Linked DNA regions of Elephas maximus indicus. The protein of the gene in region 1 purifies or fractionates together with the protein of each later gene. This does not show direct contact. Links are inferred from orthologs where the notes say so. Each region holds a gene or a part of one and is shown in the gene's direction. Other genes may lie near its edges.

Evidence for each region. Proteins that work in one complex are often made in the same cells at the same time.
Region 2: the proteins of CSNK2B (region 1) and CCNL1 purify together in Homo sapiens (co-immunoprecipitation; 3 studies listed by BioGRID and IntAct, with this or other methods). This does not show direct contact. The link is inferred for Elephas maximus indicus from reciprocal best matches to the Homo sapiens genes CSNK2B and CCNL1.
Region 3: the proteins of CSNK2B (region 1) and KAT6A purify together in Homo sapiens (affinity purification with mass spectrometry; 3 studies listed by BioGRID and IntAct, with this or other methods). This does not show direct contact. The link is inferred for Elephas maximus indicus from reciprocal best matches to the Homo sapiens genes CSNK2B and KAT6A.

The regions. Positions count from the first base shown.
Region 1 is NC_064819.1:93,193,541-93,203,338, forward strand, and holds CSNK2B (casein kinase II subunit beta), read left to right. Parts: upstream 1-5,211; 5' UTR 5,212-5,330; intron 5,331-5,509; exon of another isoform or gene 5,510-5,701; intron 5,702-6,146; 5' UTR 6,147-6,157; coding exon 6,158-6,229; intron 6,230-6,918; coding exon 6,919-7,021; intron 7,022-7,595; coding exon 7,596-7,711; intron 7,712-8,139; coding exon 8,140-8,239; intron 8,240-8,379; coding exon 8,380-8,569; intron 8,570-9,362; coding exon 9,363-9,453; 3' UTR 9,454-9,598; downstream 9,599-9,798. Other genes in the region: GPANK1 (G patch domain and ankyrin repeat-containing protein 1), read right to left, coding at 1,548-1,992, 2,763-3,397. UniProt on the Homo sapiens protein: Regulatory subunit of casein kinase II/CK2.
Region 2 is NC_064841.1:3,471,846-3,480,984, forward strand, and holds the start of CCNL1 (cyclin-L1), read left to right. Parts: upstream 1-5,463; 5' UTR 5,464-5,537; coding exon 5,538-5,834; intron 5,835-6,664; coding exon 6,665-6,739; intron 6,740-7,216; coding exon 7,217-7,326; intron 7,327-9,139. Other genes in the region: collagen alpha-2(I) chain-like, read left to right, coding at 2,762-3,442, 3,517-3,562, 3,599-4,616. UniProt on the Homo sapiens protein: Involved in pre-mRNA splicing. Functions in association with cyclin-dependent kinases (CDKs). Inhibited by the CDK-specific inhibitor CDKN1A/p21. May play a role in the regulation of RNA polymerase II (pol II).
Region 3 is NC_064840.1:58,392,179-58,402,077, forward strand, and holds the start of KAT6A (histone acetyltransferase KAT6A), read left to right. Parts: upstream 1-6,223; 5' UTR 6,224-6,318; intron 6,319-8,949; 5' UTR 8,950-9,273; coding exon 9,274-9,873; intron 9,874-9,899. UniProt on the Homo sapiens protein: Histone acetyltransferase that acetylates lysine residues in histone H3 and histone H4 (in vitro). Component of the MOZ/MORF complex which has a histone H3 acetyltransferase activity. May act as a transcriptional coactivator for RUNX1 and RUNX2.

The DNA.
Region 1 (9,798 bases):
CAGGGCTATCTCCCCCTCCAGCTGTGAGCTCCTTCAGTGTTGGGAATGTCTCTCTTAGCACACTGTATATGAATATTTGTGAAATCAGTGACTGAACTGACTGGAGTGGTCAGAAGATCTGCATGGAGCTGCAAGTTGTTCCTGGTTCAGAAGAATAGGTGTGGTACTATTGGCAGGGGCTAGGCCTCGAAGAATGGGAATTCCAAAACGCTTAATTGTGCTCACGAGGAACCTGTACGTAGATCAAGAGGCAGTCGTCCGAACAGAACAAGGGGATATTGCTTGGTTTAAAGTCAGAAAAACTGTGCGTCAGGGTTTATCCTTTCACCATACCTGTTCAATCTGTACGTTGAGCAGATAATCTGGGAGGCTGGACTGTATGAAGAAGAATGGAGCATCAGAACTGGAGGAAGACACATTAACCTGCGTTATGCAGAAGACACAACCTTGCTTGCTGAAGGTAAAGAGGTCTTGAAGCACTTACTGATGAAGATCAAAGACCACAGCCTTCAGTATGGATTACTCTTCAACATAAAACAAAAATTCTCACAACTGGACCAATAAGCAACATTATGATAAACGGAGAAAAGATTGAAGTTGTCAAGGATTTCATTTTACTTGGATCCACAATCAACAGCCATGGAAGCAGCAGTCAAGAAATCAAGAGACACATTGCATTGGGCAAATCTGCTGTAAAAGACCTCCTTAAAGTGCTGAAAAGCAAAGATGTCACCTTGAAGACTAAGGTGCACCTGACCCAAACCATGGTATTTTAAATCGTATTTTATGTATGTGAAAGCTGGACAATGAATAATGAAGACCAAAGAAGAATTGACACCTTTGAATTATGCTCTTGGTGAAGAACGTTGAATATACCATTGACTACCAAAAGAAAGAACAAATCTGTCTTGGAAAAAGTACAACCAGAATGCTCCTTAGAAGCTAGGATGGTGAAACTGCATCTTACATACTTTGGACATGTTGTCAGGAAGGATCAGTCCCTGAAGAAGGGCATCGTGCTTGGTAGAGTACAGGGTCAGCGAAAAAGAGGAAGACCCTCCAGGAGATGGAGTGACACAGTTGCTGCAACAATGGGCTTAAGCATAACAATTGTGAGCATGGTGAAGGACCAGGTAGTGTTTCGTTCTGTAGTACACAGGATCACTATGAGTTGGAACCGACTTGACGGCACCTAAGAACAACAACAGGCCTCCAAAAGAACCAGATTGGTAGGGAGATGACTCTATCATGCCATCTGGAGGTAGCTGCTCCTGTGGCTCCAATTGGCCATGCTAATGTGGCCCCCAGACTTCAGTTTGGCTTCCCCCACAACAGCTTCCAGAAAAATGAACAGATTAGGAAAGAGAATGAAGATTGATTTATTTCTCAACTCTCAGCCCTTCTCTCCCAAAAGGCAGGGAGGGCCCAGTGACCAAAACCTGAGGGTCTGGGACCTGGGCAGACCTCTGGGAGTACAGGCTAAAGTACCCAAGTCATGGGCCAAAGTTCAGACTCTGGCAGCAGACCAGGGTCAAACCTCACCAAGGTCAGAATTCAAGGTTCATGTACATCCTGAGATCCCGCTCCCAAGCCCTGCTCTTCTCCTCTCGCCTTCTCTCCTCTTTCCGGCTCAGTGTGGTCACCCGAGGCGCTCGCTCCCGCCCAGCCACAGCCCGGGTATCCAAAGCCTGGAAGTGTGTGACCCGGGGCTGGGGTGCTGATCTGTAGCCAAGACCCTCCTGGTCCCTCTTAAGGACAGTGGGGATAGGGTTGGTGCGACCCTCACCTCGGGGTCCAAGCCCCATCCCTGGCTCCCAGCCTCCCCTCAGCAGCAACCTGAAGCCTGGGCTGGAGGCAGGCACCCCAGGGGGAAGACTAGGGGGGCAGGGACCCTGGGACAGTGACAGCAGGTGGGCGGTGGATGTGCAGTGGTTGGCATCTTGGAAGTAGGCGTCACAGGTCTCGCAATAGTGGGAGGCGCGAGATTGGGGCCTGCAGAGGAAGAAGAGAAGGAGTTGAGGGAGGGGGTTATGGGTCAGGAGAAGGGTACAGAAGCTTCAGGGGTGCTGGCAGGGTGGGACAAGGTCTTTTCAGCCCTTCTGCTAAGGAACAAATTGCTTTCCTCCCCACTTAGCAATGAGAAACCCAGAGGGGAATGGCTGGGAGAAGAAATGGTAACTAGGCCTCACAAGACTTTTGGAGGAAGGAATAATAATGATTACAATTAATATTTATATAGTACTTACCATGTAGCAAAGGAGCCCCTGGGTGAGGCTAATGGCTACGCACTCCACTACTAACCAAAAGGATGGCAGTTGAAATCCACCCAGGAAGACAGGCCTGGCAATCTACTTCCAAAAGGTCAAAGTCTTGAAAACCTTATGAAGCATTCTACTCTGTACACATGGGGTCACCGTGAATTAGAATTGACTCAATGGCAACTAACAACTACATGGCAAGCACTGCTCTAGTAGTTTGCACGTATTAGCCCATTTAATCTTAACCCTACGAGAAAGGTACTATTATTACCCACCATCTCTCAGATAAGGAAACTGAGACACATAGCATTTAGGTTGTTTGCCCAAGTAAGTGGAGTTAGGATTCAAACCAATGGAGCTCATGTCTGTAACCATGCTACTACATTGCCTTATCAACCTACATGGGGCAGGGGGACCCTCAGCTCTGTTCTGGGGCCTCTGGTGCAGAGTGAGTAAGAAGAGCAGAACACTTTGAAATATGTGCATGGGCTAAGACTTTCTCACCGGTTCTCAGGGCTCCTCGTCTCTCCATGGCTCTCCCTGACCATGCGGGCCACCTCGGGGAAGCCGGCTTCTTCCGCCAGCTGGGCAGCATCCCGGCCACCCAGCTCACAAACTCCCACCCAGGCAGCCCCTCGGCCCAGGAGATAGCTCACAGCTGCCCCCTGGCCAGCTCGGGCAGCACACATCAGGGGAGTCCACCAGAAGGCATCACGGGTATTGATATTCCCCCCAGCTCCTCCTGTCTCACTGGGTTCCAGCAGCCTTCGAAGTTCTGCCAGGTCCCCCTCCTGAGCTGCCCTCAGTATCCACTGGGTTAGCTTGTCCTCTGCCTCAAGGGATCCCTCTTGTCCATGTACCCCTGATGCTGCCTCTGCCACTGCCATTGCTTCTGCCGCAGCCTCCCTCATCAGTCTTCTTTTCTTCCTCTTTTTCTCCCTGGCAGGCTCAGGGTGCGATCTTTGGGGTTCAGGAAAGCTGCTCTCGCTCTCTATCAGTGACTCGTAGAAAGCACGGACTGCAGACCCATCCAAGGCGGGTTCTGGCTCCTCAGGCTGTGGCTGCTGCTGCTGCCCATCTTTCCAGAGGTCACTAGAATCGCTGGCTGGGGTGAAGGTGATGAGGGACGGCCTGGACATGGCTTTTGTGAGAGCTGAGAAAATGAGGCTGGGCAAGGGAAGGCTGAGAAAAGCAAGCCAACTGCCCAAAAGCCCCTGTAGTGCCGAGATCCACCTCCAGGAAGCTGCCGAAAGGAAGAAAAGTAGCCTTAGAATCCAAGATCCCCTCCTGCCCCAAAAGTGACCCCACAATCTAAGGCCCGGCAGGGCCTAAGCGCCTAAGGACCGACTCATAGCGACCCTACAGGAGGACAGAGTAGAACTGCCCCACAGGGTTTCCACGCAGCGGCTGGTGAATGCCAATCGCCGACATTTTGGTTAGCAGCCAAGCTCGTAACCACTGCGCCACCAGGGCTCCAAGGGTTATAGGTCACATGTAAAAACAGGAAACCCTACAATAACCTGCTCCTTGCTAAATGTCAACAAAGAAAATTCCATGAGAGAGTTGCTCAGAGGGCCTATGTCCCGCCCTGCCACCCCGCTCTCATATAAAAGTAATGAGAGCCTCTCTCTGAACCGACTTTTCCACACCAAATGACATACGTTTAAGATAAAAAAAAACCGGCCTGGCCCTTTAAATCTTCCTGCTCCTATTTCGGGGTTCCGTCTTTCAAACAAAAACAGTCTCGGCACTTCTCCGGAAGCAGATTTCGGCAAGAGGCTCCGCCTGCATTGCTTTGTGGCTTCCGTACGGCAGAATGGCGCTACTCTAATCAAAAGATACGCTACAATCAAATAGCCACAAGACAAGACAACGCATGCGTGGCAGGAAAAAAAAAAAAAAAAGCCATGATTACATCAGAGCGCAGGCGTGAAGCGCCGGGTTCAGTTTCCCGCCCTGGAGTCTTTCCAATAGTCAATCTGCAAAGGGTCGCGTGCCTCGGCGGCGCGAGGACCTAAGAAGATCTGTCGGTTGGGGTCCTGCTTTTACATAACGCCCCACAATGCCCTCCACCTCCCTCGAGGTGACCCTCCGCTCCGAGCTCATTTTCTGGAGCCGGGAAACCATTCCCTGACTTAGGAAAGGCACTGAGGAGGGAAATCTGCAATGCCAAGAAGCTGTGACATGAAATAACGTCACCCTGCCCCTCACCATTACTCTGACCAAGGTTCGAAGGTTACACTTTGAGCCCGCAGTCGAAGGTCCTATTCAAGGCCTAAGAGGATATGGAAAAGTGCAAGGGGACAAGCGCCAGGATGGCTGGTGCCACCTCAGGTTAGCGCACTGGGCCGTCCCGGTTCTCACATCGCTCAGCCCAGCCCAGCCCAGCCCAGTCCAGCCCACCTAGGTCTCTCAGCACGGAGCATTTTCTTTCTCAGGAGGCCGGGGCTCTGGGTGAAACGTGGGCCCTATGGAGAAGGGGAAGCCCCAGGAATAGGCCTGACTGGGGCAAGGGACCTAACAGGCAAGAAAGACGCGACGGCCTGGACGAGACTAGGAATAAACAGGACTAGACTCCAGGGCGGAGGCGCTTAGCCAGGACTTGAGTATCAAGCAGTGAGGAGAGAGGCAGGGAGAGACTTCAGCCTGGCGCGCTGATTTCCCCGCCCCCACTCGGCCCCTCAGTCCTAGGAGCAAAACTCTGTATTTCCCAGGCTCTGGCCCCGAATGCGGCATTTGTTTTCCGCTTCCGGTGGCGCCTCGCTGCGCCCCGCCCTCGAGCGTCTTCCTCGCGGGCCCAGCGAACCAGAGTCGTGTGCGGGTCATCCTGGGATTCGTAGTTAGCTTTTCCCTCGTTTCGCCAGTTTGTCCCTACCGGGGACTCTATTTCCCGGCGTCCACCGCGGTGCCGGACCTTTGGCGCTTGCGCGTTGCTCTTTTCCCCACCCTCCCCAATTTCCACTCCCCCCACCGCGCGTCGCCTGCCGCGGTCGGGTCCACGGCCTTCGTTGTAGCTGTCGCTTGGAAGCAGCAACTCCCCTCCCCGCCCCACTCCCGGCCCCTGTCCAGCAGGTTAGTCTGAGGTCCTCGCCGCGCCGAGCCTTCTTCTTCGTTGGCGCTGCACATGGGGTCTCTGCGCCTCGATGTGGGGGCGGGGAAGGAAGTGACCCGGTCCGGCATTGAGGGAGGGAGGGAGGGAGGGGTGTCCTGGGGGGCGGCTGCGGTATGTGCGGGCTCCTGTGGAAGGGATCTGACAGTCACCCGCAGGCCGTCAGAAAAGGAGGGGCCGGGCTCTTTCCCGGGAAGGATAAACTTCGGGACCTTTGGGAAAGGCTCCGGAAACTTGCAGAGCCCTACTGTGGTAGGGAGCCGGAGTCGAGGACCCTGCTGGAGTTGACACGGAAGGGAGAGGGGCCCGGCTTGCGGGAGAGCCAGGGATGCGGGTAGGACTGGTGGGTCACATCTCTTGGTTTCTTGCAAGTGGACTGCACAGGATTTCTAACTGCAGAGAAAAGGGGCTGAGGTGTAAATAAAAGGAGTTGGAGAGGGGTGCTCCGGAGTCTGGGAGTCTTTAAGAAACCCCGTTAAAAAACCCCGTTGACATCGAGTCAGTTCTGACTACTGAAGACTTTATAGGACAGAGGAGAACTGTTCCATAGGGCTTCCAAGGAACAGCTGGTGGATTCAAACTGCCACCTTTTGGTTAGCAGTAGCAGCTCTCCATAGTTCTTAACCACTCCAGCACCAGGGCTCTCCTTTAAGAAAGGCTGACCCCAAGGTTCTTCTGTGGTTGGAAGGTGAAGTGTGGGAGGAGGGAGGATACTAGAGACAGAGGGAGGGAGGGAAAGCTCTGGGTCACCGGCTTTACTTACACCCTTATTTTTCAAGCTGACGTAAAGATGAGCAGTTCAGAGGAGGTGTCCTGGATTTCCTGGTTCTGTGGGCTCCGTGGCAATGAGTTCTTCTGTGAAGTGAGTTCTCCTCAGTCTCCCTGCTTGCCAGCGCAGCTCCACACAGACTCTGACCCCAGGCGTTCCCACACATATTCAGCCTTCTTATAATTTTTTCCGATGCTTCCATGGAAACTCCCTCTTGTCAAGGAAGTGTCCCCTCAGTACCTCCCATTAACCTGTAGTGAAGCGGCAAGACTGGTGCTCAAGTCCCAAGCCTTCCATCTTCCGACAGGAAGATGTCGAGAAGGTCAATCCATGTCTTTGTTATCACTAGAATAGTACTGATAGTACCTGTCTCAGGTGGCTGTTACGAGAATTGAAATACTACCTGTTAAAATGTTTGGTAATGTGTAAAGTTCTCTGTTAACGTAAGGGATTGTAACCTTCAGAATCTGAGCTGTCAGTCTCCACCTTCCTCAGAGAGCCAGCTATCCTTAAAGAGAGAACAAAACTGGTTCCTAGAGATGGGGTGCAGGAGTACGGATAGGGAACTTGAAAAGAATGTCTATCTGAGGAGACATCCTTAGAAAAGAAAGGCCAGGGCTTTTAGGAGAGGGAGTGTGTGAGTACCTCTTTTGAGTTTGGGGTGGGGGATGACGGGAACAGAAGCAGTTGTGTTGAGAACAAGGCATCAGTTAGAGCAACATGTCTGTGCCAAAGCCTGGAGTTTCTTTGTGGTTTCCTTCTTCACTTCCACATCCTGACAGGTGGATGAAGACTACATCCAAGACAAGTTCAACCTCACAGGGCTCAATGAGCAGGTACCCCACTATCGACAAGCCCTTGACATGATCTTGGACCTGGAGCCTGGTGAGGCACTTTCAGGGTTGTTGTTTTGTTTTGATTTTTCCTCCTCTCAAAATCCCAATTCCCCTGTTTCTTGAATTTCTAAATTTTCTTTTGGCTCTTTGTCTCCTTTATCCCAAAATCTCTTCCTTCACTTTGATTCTCCACCTGGCTCTTGCCTGGTTTAGTGACATCTGCCATCTGTTCCTGTGCTCACTGATTCTGTAATTCGGCTTTATTCCATAATGCCACTTTCCCCAAGTGTCTTGTTTTCTGCCTGTTTCTTCTGCCCTGCACCTTCCAGTCTAGAGTTCCACCTTCTGCGTTGACATCTTTGCATTTATGTATTGAGAAGCGAGGTAGGGGTAGAGAAGAGAACGGAGGCTGAAGAGGTGTGGAGGGAAGGCAGAGCTGCCCTGGGTTGGTGGAAGGGGTCAGAAACCTAGGTTTACGGGTTGAATGTCCAGGTGATGGGTGGGGTGAGACTCAGAGATAGGTGGTGGGCAAATTGAGTAGCCAGCAGCCACTGGGAGTGAGTGGAGCACCCTCAGGAAGGCTGAATGGCAAGTGGTTGCATTTGGGCCGGGCCATGTTTCAGATGAAGAGTTGGAAGACAACCCCAACCAGAGTGACCTGATTGAGCAGGCAGCTGAGATGCTGTATGGATTGATCCACGCCCGCTACATCCTCACCAACCGTGGCATCGCCCAGATGGTGAGGACTCTACTCCCACTTGACTCCTTTTGAGGCAATAAGGGAAACAGGTTCCAGCAGCAAGAAGTCATACATTTCAACTTTGCCAGGGAGTCTAGCTGAGAAGAGGGGAAGAAGCCCAGAATCTGGGCCTGGGAGTTGAGTCCTGATTTCGGGGCATGTTGTGGGAGGCTGTTTTCAGGAGGGAGACATGACCCTGAATGGGAAGTTCTTGCAGACTATCTCTTTCTTGGGGAACAAACAGTGAATGACTCTGGTTTGCAGCCTGCCTGACTGGAGGAAAGGAGGCAGCAGAGTCTGAGGGTCTGTCTGGGCTAGGGAAGGGGCCTCTGGACAGAGGTGGAAGGATTAGGGGCACAGTGATATAGGTTGGGCTGAGGGGGGAGTTAGCACTATGTGGGTTGCATCATTTCACACCTGTCTACCAGTCTTCGCCATTTTATTTACCTCAGTTGGAAAAATACCAGCAAGGAGACTTTGGCTACTGTCCCCGTGTGTACTGTGAGAACCAGCCAATGCTCCCCATTGGTGAGTATTGGATAGTGGTAGATGACATATGGCAGGTGCCCTGGGAATGTGTTGGGACTTAGCAAGTCGGGGCCCAAGTCCTGGGTGAAAGTTGTGCAGGTTAGAAGGTGCCCAGTCGGCTGAGTCTGGCTGTCTCGCAGGCCTGTCGGATATCCCAGGCGAGGCCATGGTGAAGCTCTACTGCCCCAAGTGCATGGATGTGTACACACCCAAGTCATCGAGGCATCACCACACGGATGGCGCCTACTTCGGCACCGGCTTCCCTCACATGCTCTTCATGGTGCACCCCGAGTACCGGCCCAAGCGGCCCGCCAACCAGTTTGTGCCCAGGTGGGGAGCAAGGACAGAGCTACCAAGGATCAAAGAAAAGACCCAAGGTCCCCTGGAGATAAGGGAAGGCAGGGCATCCCCTTTTTTGAGGTCTGGTTCCCCCAGGCCAGGGCTTCTTTTTGCTGAGTACCCTTGGGCAAATTATTTAATTGCCTTATGCTTGTTTTATTTTTTATGAAATGGGGATGATGGCAGTGTTATCCTGATAGGGTGACTTTGAACAGGTAAATTGCTTAGAACAGTGTTTGGAGCTTAAAATATTTAAACTTTAGTTATTGCCATCACCGGAGTGTCTGGGTGGCGTGAGTGCTTAAGCACTTACCTAACCAAAAGGTTGGCAGTTCAAACCAACACAGAGATGCCTCAGAAGAAAGACCTAGCAATCTATTTCCAAAAGGCCACTGCCATTGAAAACCCTGTGGAGCAGTTCTGCTCTGCACACCTTGAGTCACCATGGAATCAACTCAATGGCACCTAATTTGATTTTTGGTTATTATTACCACTGTCTTGGGTGTTCAGCCTTTTACCAGATTAATAAATATGATTCATCTTTTTGGGGCATCAATTTAAGTCTGTCTATGAAAAAGAGAAGTTCAGTTTTACCTTGAAACAAGAACTGATATAGAATTTGAGTTTTAATTGATGTTTAACATACATTTCCAAGTATTCTTGAGTAAAGAGTTTTGGGAACTACTGCCCTTAAGCTTTGAGGAAGCCCACGGAGGCAGAGGGGTGGGGAGGCAGGAATGTAACCCACTCATCCCACTACCTCTCTGATCTCTCCCCGGCCCAGGCTCTATGGTTTCAAGATCCACCCGATGGCCTACCAGCTGCAGCTCCAAGCTGCCAGCAACTTCAAGAGCCCGGTCAAGACGATTCGCTGATTCCTTAGCCTACCTGTTCCTCAGTCTTTTACACCCCTGTTCCTTTGCTGCCACCCTTTCAGGAATCCTCTGTGGTTTTTAGTTTAAATTAAAGGAGTCATTATTGTGGTGGGGATATCAAATAAAGTGGAAGAAAAGGCCATGAGCCGGTCTGCTGATGCTTGGGGTTGGGGATGGGAGGGTAGCTCTGGGAGCCCTCGGGGCCCACCCTCCCCAAGTTGGAAATCAGATTTGTGCCCTGTGGATTTGGCTGATGTTTTTAGTGGAGAACAGAACATAACTCCTAGGGCTGGGTGTAAAGTGCAAGTTCACAAGGAAAAGACCCAGAGAAAAATCAGGTTTCAA
Region 2 (9,139 bases), on another chromosome or scaffold:
AAATTGTAAGTTGATTCTGACGTAAGTCAAATATATATATATATTTAGTTTTCTTTATTATTGCCTTTCATTATCAGTATCTTTATAAATCTGATCTTTGTCTTTGGGGTTGTAAACATGACAAACATCTGCCAGTGAACATCTGAGAATGATAACATCAACAAATTACAGGCTGCAACGTTGTATATAATACATATTACTAACAATAAGATGTTCCAAAACAAACAGATGGTTGAAAGCGCAGTTCATCTTAACTCAAACCTGTCTTAAGTCAGGGACTACCTGTATTCCCGAGAAAACCCTATGGGGCAGTCCTAACTCTGTCACATGGGGTCGCTATGAATCAGAATCAACTGAGGGCACTAACAACAATTATAGACTTACTATCCCATTGTTTCTTAGACCGACAAAGAACTTAATCATTTCACTTCCTAATGGAACGTGCCTGGACTCACTTCCAATAATGCTTTTTTGTAACTAAAATGTGTGCTTCACTTTTCCTAACTGGGGGTCCTTTATGTCTCTTAGTTTTTAGTTTTCCCATATTTTAATGTTGATATTTTTGGAAGTAGGTAGGTGGAAAACAACTTTCCTCAGAAAATACCTTAGAAACAATAACAGTTTTTCCACTACAGGATTTACCTGGAATTTGACTCTGAAAAAGATAGGATAGAATCATATAAATACACACACACACATGCATATATATAATTTAAATCCATGTCCTTAGACAACTTTGTGGACCAGAACCACTAACCCCACTGCTCTCCAGCCTCCAGATAGTCATGGATTTTTAAAAAAGTAATCTGGCAGTTTAACTAACTGCTGATAAGGAAATGCTTCTATAAAGTGCTGGAGGCAGGCCTAGTAAAGCATCCACACCTACTGGATATTATTAGGGGGTAAGTCAGTGGGAAGTGACAGCAGTTGTGGAATTGCTCTGGTAGTTCTGTTCTTCTGTAACTGACTGCCAGATCCCGGGAGGGGCAGGGCCCTGGGAAGCAATGTTAGGAGTAGAGAGGTAACCTGCTGGAGAAAAGAGATCCCCTCTACTCCTCCCTTCCATGTTTGTTAACTTTTTTGGCTTTATCAAGAACCTGTTGTTGTTAGTTGCCCTCAAGTGGATTCTGACTCGGCGACCCCAAGTGTGCTCCCTAGGGTTTTCAAGGTTGTGACCTTTTAGAAGCAGATCCTCAGGCCTGTCTCCTGAGGTGTGTCTAGATATATTCAAACCATCAACCTTTTGAATGTTTAACTGTTTACATCACCCAGGGACTCCACAGTCAGGGACCTGGAGAGTAAAAATATAAAAGATATCAATACCTCACCAGTCAGTCTATTGGAGAAGCATGCTGGAAGACCCCTTAAAAGGAGAAAGCTTTCCATTAAGAAATATTCTTTGAAGAACACCAAAGACACAAGGTAATAATGGGCTCAAGAGACAGAAATGGCCATAGAAACCAGAGACTACATCAGCCTTAGACCAGAAGAACTAGATGGTGCCCGGCTACAACCAATGACTGCCCTGACGGGGAACACAACAGAGAACCCCTGAGGGAGCAGGAAAGCAGTGGGATGCAGACCCCAAATTCTCATAAAAAGACCAGACTTAATGATCTGACTGAGTCTACAAGGACCCAGAGATCATGGTCCCCAGACCTTATGTTAGCCCAAAACAGGAACCATTCCCAAAGCTAAGGTTTCAGACAGGGATTGGGCTGGACTATGGGATAGAAAATGTTACTGGTGAAGAGTGAGCTTCTTGGCTCAAGTAGACACGTGAGACTACGTGGGCAGCTCCTGTCTGGAGGGGAGATGAGAGGGCAGAGGGGGTCAGAAGCTGGCTGAATGGACCCGAAAATAGAGAGTGGAGAGAAGGAGTGTGCCCTCTCATTACAGGGAGAGCAACTAGGAGTATATAGTAAGGTGTATAAAAATTTTTGTATGAGAGACTGACTTGATTTGTAAACTCTCACTTAAAGAACAATAAAAAAGTTTTTTAAAAAAGCTTACAAATAAATTATATTACTCTTAAATCACTACAAATATAACTGGTGATTTCACTGATGCCAAATACTTCAGTGAAACACATTATCGATCAGTTTTTTCTTTATACTTTGAGATAATTTAAGAGTCACAGTAAGTATCAAAAATAGCAGCGTTCCCTTGTACTATTAACCCAGCTTTCCCAAGTGATATTTTACATAACCATGGTAGATCAACAAAACCAGGGAACTGGCACACTAGACATTAGTTTTTAAATAAACTGAGGATACCTGAAAAGTTTGTTACAGTATTTTAAATATTTCACCTGAGCACTGGGGAGAGAAGTTTCCGTGGAAGCGGCCAGGATGGAAAGGTGGAGGAGGTTATGTTCAAGAAGGTGAAGTGTTTAGCCAGTACCAGAATTACACTGTCTTGGGAAAGCGTTTCTCAATATATTCAGTCTTAAAACTGGCTATGTAAGAGAAAGGTAATGACACTTCTCGTCCCTCGTCTCAGGGCTTCGAGCAGGGGATAAAAACCTGGTAGGAGTGAAATGTGATGCACTCTCAAGGCCTTACCTTCCAACTCTAGATTACAGTTGTTCAGACCAGTACATTGTTTTTCCTTTGTGTTTGAGAAAAATGTGGGCATTTCTAGCTACAATCACAGAGAAAAAAAGTGAGTGAGCTTCAGGTCATCCATTCAGGCTAATCGCTGTAACCAGAATCGAATTACCACTGTAAAGTTCTCGGCCTAAGGCTATTTTTAGCGACAGGATTTCCCAGTTTACTAAAAGCTGTGCAAAAGCTGCCCGTGGCCGGGCCTGCGTTTCGCAAGCGGAGCTGGAATGGAGAGCAGACGCATTCCCGGGGTCCCCAGGCGTCACTTCCAGTCCGGGAACCACAGGCTTCTGGGGGTGATACTCCCAGTCCGGGAGCCACAGGCTTCTGGGGCCTTCACTCCCACTCCGGGAGCCACAGGCTTCTCGGGGGCGTCACTCCCACTCCGGGAGCCGCAGGCTTCTCGGGGCCTTCACTCCCAGTCCGGGAGCCACAGGCTTCTCGGGGGCGTCACTCCCACTCTGGGAGCCGGCCTTCACTCCCACTCCAGGAGCCACAGGCTCCTGGGGCCTTCACTCCCAACCTGGGAGCCACAGACTTCTGGGGCCTTCACTCCCACTCCGGGAGCCACAGGCTTCTCGGGGCCTTCACTCCCACTCCGGGAGCCACAGGCTTCTGGGGCCTTCACTCCCACTCCGGGAGCCACAGGCTTCTCGGGGGCGTCACTCCCACTCCGGGAGCCACAGGCTTCTGGGGGCGTCACTCCCAGTCCGGGAGCCACAGGCTTCTCGGGGGCGTCACTCCCACTCCGGGAGCCACAGGCTTCTGGGGGCGTCACTCCCAGTCCGGGAGCCACAGACTTCTCGGGGGCGTCACTCCCAGTCCGGGAGCCACAGGCTTCTGGGGCCTTCACCCCCACTCCGGGAGCCACAGGCTTCTCGGGCCTTCACCCCCACTCCGGGAGCCACAGGCTTCTCCGGGGCGTCACTCCCACTCCGGGAGCCACAGGCTTCTCGGGCCTTCACCCCCACTCCGGGAGCCACAGGCTTCTCGGGCCTTCACTCCCACTCCGGGAGCCACAGGCTTCTCGGGGGCGTCACTCCCACTCCGGGAGCCACAGACTTCTGGGGCCTTCACTCCCACTCCGGGAGCCACAGGCTTCTCGGGGGCGTCACTCCCACTCCGGGAGCCACAGGCTTCTCGGGGGCGTCACTCCCACTCCGGGAGCCACAGGCTCCTGGGGCCTTCACTCCCACTCCGGGAGCCGCAGGCTTCTGGGGGCGTCACTCCCACTCCGGGAGCCACAGGCTTCTCGGGGGCGTCACTCCCACTCCGGGAGCCACAGGCTTCTCGGGGGCGTCACTCCCACTCCGGGAGCCACAGGCTTCTCGGGGGCGTCACTCCCACTCCGGGAGCCACAGGCTTCTCGGGGGCGTCACTCCCACTCCGGGAGCCACAGGCTTCTCGGGGGCGTCACTCCCACTCCGGGAGCCACAGGCTTCTCGGGGGCGTCACTCCCACTCCGGGAGCCACAGGCTTCTGGGGACGTCACTCCCACTCCGGGAGCCACAGGCTTCTGGGGACGTCACTCCCACTCCGGGATCCGGGCTTCTCGGGGGCGTCACTCCCACTCCGGGATGCGGGCTTCTTGGGGGCGTCACTCCGACTGTGGGATCCAGGCTTCTCGGGGGCCTTCACTCCCACTCCGGGATCCGGGCTTCTCGGGGGCCTTCACTCCCACTCCGGGATCCGGGCTTCTCGGGGGCGTCACTCCCACTCCGGGATCCGGGCTTCTCGGGGGCGTCACTCCCACTCCGGGATCCGGGCTTCTCGGGGGCCTTCACTCCCACTCCGGGATCCGGGCTTCTCGGGGGCCTTCACTCCCACTCCGGGATCCGGGCTTCTCGGGGGGCGTCACTCCAACTGTGGGATCCGGGCTTCTCGGGGGCGTCACTCCCACTCCGGGATCCGGGCCTCTCGGGGCGCCCTTGGGAGCCCGTGGGGTTCACCTTCCCCTTTGCCGAGAACAGGGACGCAGAGCGGACCCGCGCAGACTCTGGGGTGCCGTGACCTCCCAGCTCCCACCCAGGGCGGCAGGGTTTCCAGCTCCACCCGCACAGGCTGCTGGCTGGGACGTCAGGCCGCGGCCGGCGACAGTCGCCAAGGTCCCCTGGCAGGTGCCAGGTCCCGCGCGCGGTGGGGACGGGCCGGGGAGGCGAGAGCCAGCCGGGGTGAGGGGCGCGTGTGCCACGGGGTTTCTGAAGCCGCCGCTGCAGGCCTTTGAGGAAGGTCTGCGAACCCTAACTAGGGAGCCCTGGGGGCGCAGTGCTTAAAGCTCAGCTGCGACCCAAAGGTCGGCAGTTCGAATCCGCCGGCCGCTCCTAGAAAACCCTATGGGGCCGTTCCACTGTGTCCTATAGGGTGGAATCCACTGGGCCGCAGTGGGCCGTGGGCTGACTGGAGGACGCGGTGTCATGGCGAGCTCATTGTTTCTGTGACTGGACCTGGGGCCTGGTTTAACGAGAGAGTCTCCTTGGCCTCCCCGGGCCCCGCGTCCCCCCGAGAGACCAGGCTGCGCCCCAGGCGCGCCCCGCAGCCCCACCCCCACCCCGGCGCGCGGAGGCCCCGCCCAGAAGGCCCCGCCCAGAAGGCCCGAACCAGGAGGCCCCGCCCAGAAGGCCCGAACCAGGAGGCCCCGCCCAGGGAGACCCCGCCCAGGGAGGCCCCGCGTGCCCCCGAGAGACCCGGCTGCAGCACAGGCGCGCCCCGCAGCCCCACCCCGACCCCGGCGCGCGGAGGCCCCGCCCAGAGAGGCCCCGCCCAGGGACTAGCTGGCGCGCGTCGGCGTGCGTGCTGACGTCAGGGCGGAAGCGCACGCTGCGTGAAGCGCCCGCGCGCGGAGGCGGCCGGGATATCCGTCGCGCCGAGAACGCTGGTTAGTCTCGCTCTGGGTTCCGGCTGCGTTGGGCGTGCGTGCAGCTCGCGGAGATTATGGCGTCCGGGCCTCACCCGACCGCGGCCGCCGCCGCCTCGTCGGTCGCCCCGAGCGCGGGCGGCTCCGGCTGCGGGGCGGCGGCCACGACGGCGACGGCGACCAGGGGCATCCTGATCGGCGACCGCCTGTACTCGGAGGTGTCGCTGACCATCGACCACTCGCTGATCCCGGAGGAGCGGCTCTCGCCTACGCCGTCCATGCAGGACGGGCTCGACCTGCCCAGCGAGACGGACCTGCGCATCCTGGGCTGCGAGCTCATCCAGGCCGCCGGCATCCTCCTCCGGCTGCCGCAGGTGCGTGCGCCGCGGGGCTCGGCCGGCGCTGGTCCCGCCGGGGTGGGAGGCGGAGGGCCGGTGTCGGAGGCCCGGTGTCGGAAGGCCGGGCGGACCGGGGCCGGTATCGGAGGTGGAGGGCCAGGGTCGGAGGCGGAGGGCCGGGCGGACCGGGGTCGGAGGGCCGGTGTCGGAGGCGGAGGGCCGGGCGGACCGGGGTCGGAGGACCGGTGTCGGAGGCGGAGGGCCGGGCGGGCCGGGACTGGGGCCGGTGTCAGAGGCCCGGTGTCGGAGGGCCGGGCGGACCGGGGCCGGGGTCGGAGGCGGAGGGCCGGGAAGACCGGGATCGGGGTCGGAGGGCCGGTGTCGGAGGTGGAGGGCCGGGCGGACCGGGGCCGGTGTCGGAGGCGGAGGGCCGGGCGGACTGGGGTCGGAGGGCCGGTGTCGGAGGCGGAGGGCCGGGACTGGGGCCGGTGTCGGAGGCGGAGGGCCGGGACTGGGGCCGGTGTCGGAGGCGGAAGGCCGGGCGGGCCGGGGCCGGGGCCGGTGTCGGAGGCGGAGGGTCGGGCGGGCCGGGACCGGGGCCGGTGTCGGAGGCGGAGGGCCGGGCGGGCCGGGACCGGGGCCGGTGTCGGAGGCGGAGGGCCGGTGTCGGAGGTGGAGGGCCGGGCGGGCCGGGACCGGGGCCGGTGTCGGAGGCGGAGGGCCGGGCAGACCGGGGTCGGGGGGCCGGTGTCGGAGGCGGAGGGCCGGGAGGGCGGCTCGCAGGCGGAGGCGGGCGTACAAGATGGCGGCCAGCCCGGAGCCGGCCCGCCTGACCCCGCGCCTCCCTTCTCGTGTCTCGTCTGCAGGTGGCGATGGCAACGGGGCAGGTGTTGTTCCATCGGTTTTTCTACTCCAAGTCGTTCGTCAAACACAGTTTCGAGGTGAGCGGCGCGGGGGCGGCGAGACGGGGATTTCTTCATCCGGAAGGGGGGGTGGTGTCGGCAGCCTGCTCTCCCCGGCGAGGACGGGGCTCCCCCGGGCCTCGGTGCCCCGCTGCCCCGGCCGGGAAGTGGGGACCTCCGGAATGTGTCCTAGAAAGGGAGCGGTGCAGTCTGAGCCCGGGTGCCCTCCTTATCAAGGGTTAGGGTGTTCAACCAAGTGCCGCAAACTCCCGGGGGATCGAGGTTGGCTGTGGATCCAAAGTTAGGAGTTGAGCAACAAAACGACAGCATAGGGCTGGTGACCGAGAAGCTTCTCTCGGGCTTTTATCGCGCCGAAGGCTGCCCCAGTTGTGTTCTAAAGTTTCATCAGAATAAGTTTGTTACACTTTTGGCGAGACGCTTTTCTCTTTCCCAACTTTAGTTGATAGTCCTGTCATTTTAACAATTGTTACTGATCCGGTTTTTTTTTTTTTCCAGATTGTTGCCATGGCGTGTATTAATCTTGCATCAAAAATCGAAGAAGCACCTAGAAGAATAAGAGATGTGATTAATGTATTTCACCACCTACGCCAGTTAAGAGGAAAAAGGTAAGATTGGCAATATCGATTATGTTCTCTTCTGCTACTTCTGTACTGTGTACCGATTATCAGGTCAAGACATCTTTCCTGTTCAAGCGAATGTGATGCACAGAAAAACTCACTTTAACTTAGGTGTTCTGATCCACCTGGGAGCACACGGGTGTTTAAGGAAACTTGGGGAAGCTGTGACTGACCAGTTACCTAGAGCTCGTAGAGGCAGTTGTGGAGGTTGCTAGGAGCGCTGTGAAGCCAGGCTGTGATTTAAGATTGAACAAGAAAGAGAATGAGGATGCATTGGGCTCCAGTGGGAGTGTATTCTCTTTTTCCCCCACTTTCTCTCTGGAAGACTAAAGGTTGGTAGTTTAAACAACGTAGTTCAAGTTAATCTTTTGGCAAAGTTCTGCGTAGATTGATTTTCTGTTCCAAGTCCCAGTTAATTCTTTGTCAATTGAGGTTGGTTTTTGTTAGAACACTTCTCAACATTGAACTACGATATATCGAATAATACCGGATCTGAAAGGACTGCAGGATGGTAAAATTTGAAGTTTGAAGTCAAAGGGATTAAACAGGTATTTTATACTGGTCAGATAAAGACTTGGGGAGTCGGTTAGAAAAATAACTCTTAAGTTTGATTGGATTGCATTATTAGGGGCCCACTTAGTCCATCTTGTAAGAAAACAAATGGAAACGGTGTTTTCTCGTAGGTGTGTTGTAACTACATGGTAACACTGGACCTATGTGTTGATGTGAGAGAAAACCACTTACAAAGTGTCAGTTGCAGGTCTTTTTGCATCTGCAAGAGATTTCTGGTACACACTGGAGAAGGATCTACTTGGTGTAGATTACAGATTAGTTGTGTTCCCTTTAGGGAGTCATGGTGATAGACAAACTTGTGCTGAGTTTGGAAGGAAATTAGTTGTAAGATGATAATAAGTTGTGTTGGGGGTTGGGTGTAGCTTAGTGCCGAATCAGTATTCCACACTGATGGTACTACTCTTGGCCGAATCTTTGAAGTTGTCAGTAATGGAATTACTCAGAGGCAGCCAAATGTTACAATGTCCTTATGATGATTTAGTTCAGTCAAAAAGTCTGAAATGTCGCTCTGCAGATATTTCAAATGGTGTGTTTTTTTTTTTTTGGTTTTCTTACATTTTTCCCCTACCCTGTCTTTTCCCATTCACCCTGTTCTTACCCAGAGACAGAATAACTTTTTAATTTCGTTTTTAAATATCTTTTAGCTTCTTGTTGAGGAATCCCTGGAAATTGGGAAGATTTCAATTTGGTATTTAGTATGACCTGAGCTTATGTTTGTACTTAGCGATCTAGCTGATTGTTGAGGATGTATGAAACAGAATGACACTGTCTAATAGAAAAGGTTCTGTATCTTTAGTTCAAAGCTTTTTTTTGAAAGAAATAGTTTCTGGTGGTATTCTTTGAACCTGTTGAGCCAACCAGTATGTAGTTATATGATTATTGTCTTTGGAACTTTCTCTGTGAGACTTAGAATTTTCTTCCTTGATGTCACATTAGGTCTTCATAACTGTAAAAACCATGGAATTTAAAGTATCACATCTGACTGCTGCGTCTGATGTCACAGTGCTTTTTTTGGCATTTTTACAGAGAAATTTGTTTTGCCTCAATCTTAGAAGTGTGATTATAGCATGAAATTTAAAAGGAGTTGTTAATTGCATGGAAGCTTTTAAAAAATGAAAAACAAAAACAGGATATAGAAGCGTTTCTATGCATTTTACAAGTTAACTCAGACATATAACTTGTATACGTTATTAACTTCAACTCTTTTTTCCCTTGCAACCGACTATAC
Region 3 (9,899 bases), on another chromosome or scaffold:
AATATTGTTTAAAAAGTACTCAGGTGAGAAGCCAACTCTTCAGACAAAGATTAGACTGTACTATAAGACATAAAATGATACTCATGAAGTGTGTGCTTCTTAGTTCAAGTAGATACACGAGACTAAATGGGCAGCTCCTGTCTGGAGGCAAGATGAGAAGGAAGAAAGGAATAGGATAGGAGCTGGTTGAATGGACATGGGAAATCCGGGGTGGAAAGGAGGAGTATGCTGTCACATTATAGGGATAGCAACTAGGGTCACGTAACAATGTGTGCGTAAATTTTTGGATGAGAAACTAACTTGAGCTGTGAACTTTCACCTAAAGCACAATAAAAGAAAAAAAAAGTACTCAGGTGATTCTGATACACAGTTGGTGTTGGAAACTATACATTGGTACCTGAGGCAGAACCTTGTTCAGACATTTTCCTGCTTAGATGAAAGGACAGAACGTACTCATTTTTAAAACTTTTTTTCTGGTTCTGGGTGTGACAGAATCCTTGTAACAGACCAATAATTCAGCTGAAAACAATTAGGAGAGTTAAATAAAATATAAAACATTCATTTTAGGCATCAGAGAGCTACTGAGGCAAACAGGACTTGAGAGGATACAATCTCAGAGAAGGGGAAACCACAAGCAGAGCTAAGATGACACCACAGTACCTCCTTTCCTTGGGGCAATTCTGGCCATAAGACAAGAGCCTAAGTTTTGGGACAGAGTCCAAAAAGAGGCCTCAAGGGGCAAAAATACCAGCAGAAAATTTGGCAGTTAAGCATGGTTGGAGAGGACAAAACTTAAAGACCAGGGGGGCCAGATTTCCAGTAAAAAAGGAAAGGTGAATAACTGAGCTGAATACTCTGCCTGTTTCCCTCAAGTCACTTGTCAAATTCTGAAGAACCCTGAGACAGAAGGTTAGAAAGCCAAATAGAAAGCCTCTGAAAAGTGGAATGGAGTTTTTGGCAGTCCCACAGTGCTGGCGGAAACAAGGATTAGAATTCAGTATCCACTAGGGCGAGAGGCCAAGGGAATACACACATTCTCAGTTGGAATTCCTGGAGGGATGTACTGTAGGAGCAGCAGCAAAACAGAGGTGGACTAAGCCTTGCCAAAAGTCAATCTCAAATTAGCTCATTCTTTGATTGACTAAGGTGATTAGTCCTCATTCTAACTGCTTTGCAAAGGAAAGAGTGAACCATCTCTGGATAGAGAAAATATTATCTAGAGCCTCTATAATTTTTCATACTTAATATATGGCATTCCCTCAAAAATTACCAGGCAAACCAAGAGGGGGTGGGGTGGGGGCTGAGTCCAAAATCAATGGGAGGAATATACAGTACAAATAGATCCTCAGGAGATCAAGATTTTGTAATTATCAGAAACGGGTTTAAAATAGCCAGGATTGATACATCCAAGAAAATAGAGGGAAAGGTGGAGAAAACAAAAAGATGGAGAATTTCACCAATGAATGGGTTTTATTTTTAAAGAATCATATAAAAATTCTAAAACTTAAAAAATACAATGAGGTGAAATGAAGAACACAATAAATGGGCTTAAGAGTAGATTATACAGAAGAACAGAAAATATACAAGCTCATGCTCAAAGAAGAAAAAAAAAGAGAAAAATGATAGGATATACAGGTAGTGAACAATGAAAAATTCTGAAATATGTACACTTCAATTCCTAAAAGGAAAAGAGATAAGAAAAGGTAATGACTGTATTCCTTGGGGTTGCTGTAATAAAATACAAGCCGGGTAGCTTACAAGAACAGAAATGTATTGCCTCACAGTTCTAGAGACTAGTTGTCCAGAATTCAGGGTGTCAGCAGGATCATGTTCTCTCTGAAGGTTCTAGGGAAAGATCTTTTCTTGTTTTTCACAGCTTCTAGTTTTTTTTTTTTAGTAGCCCCAGACATTCCTTGGCTTGTAGATGCATATTTACATGGCTATCCTCCTAGGTTTGTCTCTCTATATCTCTAAAGGGTCAAACTTAATTTTAATAGCTTTTGAAAATTCTATAAATTTCTAGGGTTTCTTCTCTTCTTTTGTAAGGAGTCACTCGGATTGGATTAGAGCCCAACCTACTCCAATATGCCCTCATGTTAACTTAACCGATAACATCTCCAAAGATCCTATTTCCAAACAAGGTCAAATCCAGAGGTACCATGAGTTAGGCCTTCAACATAAATTTCTGGAGGACACAACTCAATCCATAACGGTGACCAAGAATTTTCCAAAACAGATAAAAGATGTGAAGCTACAAAAATTCAAGGAACTCCATGAATGGACACCACCCCAGTCATGAACCCAAGCGGGATAAATTAAAAGAAAACTACATCTAGACACATCATAGTAAAACTGTTGAAAACTAAAGACAAAGAAAAAAAAAGTTAAAATCATCCAGAGGTGGACAAAAATACAAGCAAGAACACAGACAGATACTTGTACACCAATGTTCATGGCAGCACTATTCAGAATAGCCAAAAGGTGGAAACAGTCTAAATGCCCGTCAACAGATGAATGGATAAATAAAATGTGGTACATGTAAAAAAAAAAAAAATTTTTTTTTACATGCATACAATAGACTACTATTCAGCCATATAGAGAAATGAAGTCCTGATAAATGCTACAACATGGTTGAACCTTGTTGTATGGTTTGAAAATATGCTGAATGAAATAAGTCAGTCACAAAAGACAAATATATGATCCCATTTATATGAAATATCTCGAATAGGCGAGTATATAGAAACCAAAGTTTATTAGGGGCTACTGAGGGGCGATGGGAGAGAGGGGAAGAGGGAGCTCATTATTTAGGGGACACTGAGCTTTTGTTAAGGGTGATGGAGAAATTTGGAAGTGAATAATGACAATGGTTGAACAACATGAGAAATGCAACTAACGTCAATGAATTGTGCATGTTGAAAGTGTTAAAATGGCAAATGTTTTGCTACATATATATTTACCACACACACACACACAGAGACACACAAAACCCAGCAAAACTAGAAAAAGGCATTATTTTGCACTCTAAAAGTTCATGGTCTAAAAATTAACTATTAATGTGTACTTTAACATACAAAGGAGGGCAGGTTTAAAAAAATGTGGAATAGTATAAATGAATTATGATTAATAATATGTTAAATTGCTACTACCTTTTTTTTTTATAGTATCTAAATACGCTATGTGTATTTACAGTTCCAAAAAAAAAAGAAGGCCTGAAAGAAGAGAAAAAGAGATACAAAATAAGTGGCCATGTAGAAAATAAATAGTAAGATGGCAAGTATAAATACAAATATAAATCCTCAAAAAAAACCATTGCCATTGAGTTGATTCTGACTCGTAGTGACCCTACAGGAAAGTAGAACTGCCTTATAGGGTTTCAAAGGAGCAATTGGTGGATTTGAACTGCCAACCGTTTGGTTAGCAGCCGTGGCTCTTAACCACTTTGCCACCAGGGCTCCTAAATACAAATATATATTAAAAAAATACAAATAAAAAAAACCAAATATAGCAGTAACTATATTAACTGCAGGAGTGCAGTGGTTAAGAGCTCAGCTGCTAACCAAAAGGTCTGCAGTGCGAATTCACCAGCCCCTTCCTGGAAACCCTATTGGGCACTTGTACTCTATCCTATAGGGTTGCTTTGAGTCGGAATCGACTCCATGGAATGGATTTTTTTTTTTTTTTTATATTAACTGTAAATGTGCTAAAAAACTTCCTGCTGAAACTAGGACAGAGAAACCTAGGCTGAGCTGTACTCTGCATAAAATGTAGTTATCAGCTGCAACCCAAAAGGCAGCTTTTCCTTGGGCAAAATGTGGAAGCGGGAAGCTTTAGCTGCCAGCCCTACAGGGCTGAATTCTTAGTGAAGGCTGAGCTAAGCAAACCGTCATTTCAGAGCAGTAAATCGTTATCTAACTTGCAGAAGGTGAGGACTTTAATCTGTTTTTATTGCAAACCTTGTACTTTGAGAAGACCCCCTGAATGTGTCATTTAGTTATGCAAATGTAAAGCAAAGACTCTCTATGGAAGCTGTTTGAAAAGCTAAACTGTGCTTTGTTGTTGCAAATTGTTTTAAAATCTTGCTACTGTGAGTTTAAAAACTCTTTTCAGAGGGATAGCTGTGGCTAGTTTTCTTTCAAATTATCCAAAAGCAAACACAGCTCATCCCTATCATTTGTCTTCTGAAAACCATAGACTTTAGTCTCATATGAAGAACACTTTTTCTTATACTAATGCCACTTCATCTGTCTTCTTTGGGAAACAAAAACCTTGTCTTATTTTCCTAAAAGAAAATTTGTCTCCTCTCACCACCCCCCCCGCCCCCGTGTCTGTTTCTGTTTTTATAAAGAGCTCCCATTTTACCTGAGAATACTTCTGCCTGATTCATCTAGGATGGAAGGCATCCTTTCTAATAGATTTTTTTGTACCTCCACCACCACCCACACCACCCATTGCCATCGAGTCTCCCCTAATCTGGGGATGGGGCTTGGAAGTAGGTGATGAACCGTGCTGACTCAGTAAGTCTCAGCACACCACATTTGTTGTCAATGTTAATGTTGAAATGTTGCCTTGGCTGGACCATCATCTGAAAATATAATACTTTTTATTCTCTAGACGGTCTATCGTGTGGAATAATAAGGCTAGGGATTAAAATGAAGAAGGTTTATAGAGACAGGAAAGTATGGGTTGGGGTATAAACAAAGGCAGGACCCGAGGTAGGTGAAGTTTCCACGTCAGAGGCTTAAAAAAATGTTCATTCATTAGCAACTTTTTTTTTAAGCTCCTACTCTTGTACAACAAGCATACTGGGCACTGGAGATACAAAGAGTCACCCTAAAAAAGCATTTATCTGGGGCTATATTCATAAAACATAGATAAAGACTCACACCCTGAGTGACAAATGAATAGGGCAAATGGTCAATACCACAGAAGTTCAGACCAGAAAGTAAATACCAAAGTTAAGGCAGTAAGTCAGACGGTGGTCTTTAAAAGGTAAGGGTGAGATAAAATGAGGTGTGGAAACACCTAAACAGGAGGCACAAGGTAGATAAATGCCCACTAACAAGAATACATTTCCACACAAAATTGTTAAGCATTTACTCTGTCCTCTCATTTGTCATTTATTGTCTTTCCAGTGAATGCAGGAAAGAAAAAAAAAAGTATGACTGAATCTCTGCCTCAAGGAGTTTAAGTCTACATGCGAGACAAGACAAAGAAACACACATGCAGCTAGTAGAGGACAGACTTGCCATAAAAAGTGCTAGATCGTGGTTCAGCCCTAAATGCAGCCAGCAGTGATTCTGCACAGGGCAGGAATACAACACAGGCTTTGGAATACGACAGATTTAGGCTCCAAACTCAGGTGTCTGCTACGTACTACCTGCATGACCTTGGGCAAGTTACACGACCCGAGTTTGCGCTGTTTTCTATAATAATGGCTCTGCTAGGGTCTAATAAACTCTCAGTTGTTGTGGGGAGTATGAAATGAAGTCATTGTGGTGAAAGGGCTTGACACGGGTGTCTGAGTTTCTATCTACTGTCCTCCCCCACGCTTTTCCCTTCTCTTCGCATCTGCTCGCCTGCCTACCAGTAGGGGTGAGATGTCTGGGGTGAGCAGAAAGGGAAAGATGAAGGGAGGCAACTTCCTCATTTTCCTCCCCTCCCCCGACCTCAGGTTCCGGGAGAGTCACTGTGGAAGTGGGTGAGGGCACAGAAGAGGGGAGGGAGGCTCTGCTAACTGTAAACACAAACGCCACCAAGAGTTCCGATCTCATCTGGCTACCGGATTTCCGTGCTATACTGAAGCCACCCTACCCATGCCCCTGCTCTCAGTTTCCCCAGCTGTGTAATGGGAGTACATCGTCGTCTTCTTTTCTGCCGTAGACGCCCGGCCTAAACGCGTGAGAAAGGCGAGAAGAAGCCCCCAGTTGCTGGCCTCCGGCCCCACCAAGTCCTCCTCCCACTTTGGCTTTGGCCTTTTGTACCGGCCCCACGTGACCCGCCAGGCCGGCTCTTCCCTCCTGCCCCGCCCCGCCCTCCGGCCTTTCCCGGCTCCAGGCCTAGCTCTTCCCGCTCCGCGACCGCCCCCCTCCCGCGCGCCCCTTTCCTCCCCCTCCCCCCGCCTCCTCCCAGGCTGTTCCCGCTCCCTCCCCCAGGCAGCCGTTCCCTCGCGACGCTTCCCCTCCCCCCGCGGCTGTTCCGCCGCCACGCCTCCCCTCCCCCCGGCCGGAGCTCACTGTCTCCAAGATGGCGGCCGTGTCAGTTTGGGGCATCTCCGCGGTCCGGCCCGGCGCCCCGGGAACCCGGCTCTCTTCTCGCCCGGTAAGTAGCCGAGGGGCCACCCCCGGCTGCCCTCGGCCACCGAGCCCGAGGCTGAGCCGCTCCGGGACCCGCTCCACCGCCTCACGGGGTCGGCGGGCCGCTGCAGGCCCCGCCGCGGCCTGCGCCGCCTCCTGCTGCTCTGCGCCAGGCCTCGGGCTGGGGCGCCGCGGCCGCCCCCTCGCGCCCAGCCGGCGCCCGGCTTCCTCCGCCCCGGTGGCCCGCGCGCTCGCCGGCCCGGAGCTCCCGCCTCCCGCCGGCCGTGCCCAGCCTGGGGAGCCGGCGGGTGGGCGGGCGGGCGGGCGGCGAACGGCCCAGGCCTCGGAGCCTCGGAGCCTCGGGGCCTCGGGGCCTCGGGCTGGGCTGCGCCGGGAGCCGGCTCTCCCCCGGGGCGCGCCCACCGCCCGGCCCCACCTGCGCCCGCCCGGTCGCCGGCCGCCGGCCGCCCGGCCCTGCCCCTCTCCCCGCGCCGCCTGGCGCGGGCCCTCTGGGCTCCGGCCGGGGGCGCCGAGGGGCGAGCGGGGCTGCGGCGGCCGGTGGGGGTGACAGGCTGGCGGGTGTTGTGGTGCGGAGGAGGCAGCACGTGTGGTGTTGTGTCTGTCGGGCTGTCAGCCCGGGCTGGGAGGGAGGCGGCGGGCGCCTGTCAAGCTTCGGCCGGCGCGGACGGGAGCTGCCCGAGCTGTCAGGCTCCGGGGAGCCTCGGCGCCCCGCACGCCTCCTTGGAACCGGCCCCGGTGGGGCTGAGTGTTCGGAGGAGCTGGGAAGGGGAGACCCATTGCGCTTAACTCTTTCACGTGATTTCATTGTTAACTTATTCCTTGGGTTCTGTGCTCCCCAAGTGGGAGCGGCGAAGCAACCCATTGGCAGACTACAGGGCTGTGCCGTTTCAAGTTTTTAAAGTTTCTCGCTCTTTAAAAAGAGAGCGCGAAGATGTGTTTGGGGGTGGGGAATGGGGAGGGAGGAAGAAGTCGGAAGCAAGTTGCGATTTCTCTGCAGCCGCTTGTGTACTTTCCGAGAGTTAAGGTTCAAGTCTGCAGGCTCTTTATTTTCTGAAGACCTGGACGCTGATGGAAATCTCGGCCGGAGAGACAATGACTGTCATTCATTCTTTTACCTGCGAGATTAATCAGTTAGAATGTTCCCAGCTTAAACTCAGGCTGTAGCTCCCCATTTAGTTTAGCGTTAGTGTCTACATAATGAACTTTCTGGGAGTATTTCTATGATTTTTATCCTCTTGAGACCCTCACCATAAATGAGGCATAGCTTTCCCGGGGGCCTTCTTTTTAGTTAGCTGATTTTGAAATAAATCTTGCCTCGGGTTTGAGTGCTCGCTTCACCCTTTTTTTTTCCGCTCCGAGTTAACAGTACTCTCTCTTTTCTGATCCCTATTAGTTTTCCTTTGGATTTTAATGTCACTCTTAAGAAAAGTTACTGTGGAAGCCATTTTTCTAGCATTGTGTACATTGTAATGTGATTGCTACCTGAGAATAAGAGAAGTTGTATTAAAAAAAGCTGAAGTAAAAAGTTTAGTTTTTTTGAGGCAAAGAAGTCATTTAGATTTAGAATTTGTTATTTTGGTGAATTTTTTTTTTTCTTATTTGTATCTGCCAGATTCTTGTGTGGGAAAGAAGTTTCATTTTGATCCTAGAGGGGCAATTCTTGTTTATGTTTTATGCGTTAATGTTCAGTACAGGACAGCAGTCTAGCAATCTTGAATTCAGATCTCTGTGAGATCCGACTCCTCTTTAACCCACAACTACTGTGTGTGTGTATGTATATAGTACCGTTCACGTGTATATTCTGTACGTTGACATGTAATATGTATATTTGACTCCAGTGACCCTGGGTCTTTCTCACTTCCACTTTATCTGTAGATTGTTTATGAATGACTTGACAGTTGTTACTCCTTTCAGTATATGGATATTAGTATCTTAGTTTGGGTTAGGAGGAACTATAAGCATGTAATTCTTAAGAGTTTGAATGAAATTGGATTATTTTAAACTTCTTTAAGCACTTTTTCACACTCGGCCCTTTTCAGTGTTATTTTTGTTCCCATTTGGAATGTTTCAAGTAGTAGTGTACTTAAAATATGAGCTTGGTCTGTAAATTAGAATTGTTTCTTTTAATATATGAAATAGTTAAAATTTTCTCAGTGGTTGTCTGCCTATCTTATTGTTTTTATCCAGTCTGAATGTCTGGAATTTTGAAAGATGAAAGATTTACTTTCATTGCAGGATTCTTTCTACTAATCCAGTTATTTGTTGAAGTGTGCTGGATAGTTACTTCTTGGGGAAAGATGTCAAGGAGGAGTTGCAGTTCATAGACTGGTGAGCAGAGATTGGGAGCACAGAATAGCGAGCACGCTCCTGGTTAGTTGTAGCCTAAGGTCATTCATAGAACATCTCATCTTGTGTCCTAATTACTCATCTTTTTTTTTTTTCTTCTTTCTGTTTTACCCCAGTGACTTACATACATGTTTGTTTTGGGGTGTTGATAGAAATGTCTTAAACTCCTACAGGTGTTCAGGAAACACTTGTTACTTACTTAGTTTAAAAAAGAATAGAATATTTCAGTTACAGCTTATTTTCAGTGGGCTTGATGTGGAAAACTGACCTTGTTTTAATTGCTTTACAGGCATGAGATGCACGTTTTTCTAATGTGAAGCTGGGAATGAGATGTTCTTGAGTCTTTACAACTTTCTGAAGAGACCCATGTGTGGTGCTATAAAGAAATTTATTGGGAAGTGTGATGATATTTCAAATAACAGGTTGTTTTGGTTTCTAAAATAAAATTGGAAAGCGTTCTACTTTGCGAAAGGAGAAAAGACTCAGGCCAGAAAACTTGTATGCTATGGTTAACTGGTTCCCAGCCTCCGAGAATCTTGTTTTCCATGGTGTGAAACTTACTCAGCATCAGGATAAGGGATAACGACTCTATGGATATACAGAATCCTTCACCATGGTAAAACTCGCTAACCCGCTGTACACGGAGTGGATTTTAGAGGCCATCAAAAAAGTGAAGAAGCAGAAACAGCGTCCTTCAGAGGAAAGGATATGCAATGCAGTATCTTCATCCCATGGCTTGGATCGTAAAACTGTTCTAGAACAATTGGAGTTGAGTGTTAAGGATGGAACAATTTTAAAGGTCTCTAATAAAGGACTCAATTCCTATAAAGATCCTGATAATCCTGGGCGAATAGCACTTCCTAAACCTCGAAACCATGGGAAATTGGATAATAAACAAAATGTGGATTGGAATAAACTGATCAAACGTGCAGTTGAGGGCTTGGCAGAGTCCGGTGGCTCAACTTTGAAAAGCATTGAACGTTTTTTGAAAGGTCAGAAGGATGTGTCTGCGTTATTTGGAGGCAGTGCTGCCTCTGGCTTTCACCAGCAGTTACGATTGGCTATCAAACGTGCCATTGGCCATGGCAGACTCCTTAAAGATGGACCTCTTTATCGGCTCAACACTAAAGCAACCAATGTGGATGGGAAAGAGAGTTGTGAGTCTCTTTCTTGTTTACCTCCTGTGTCACTCCTTCCACATGAAAAAGATAAGGTAAGAACGGTATATGCATCAGAGTT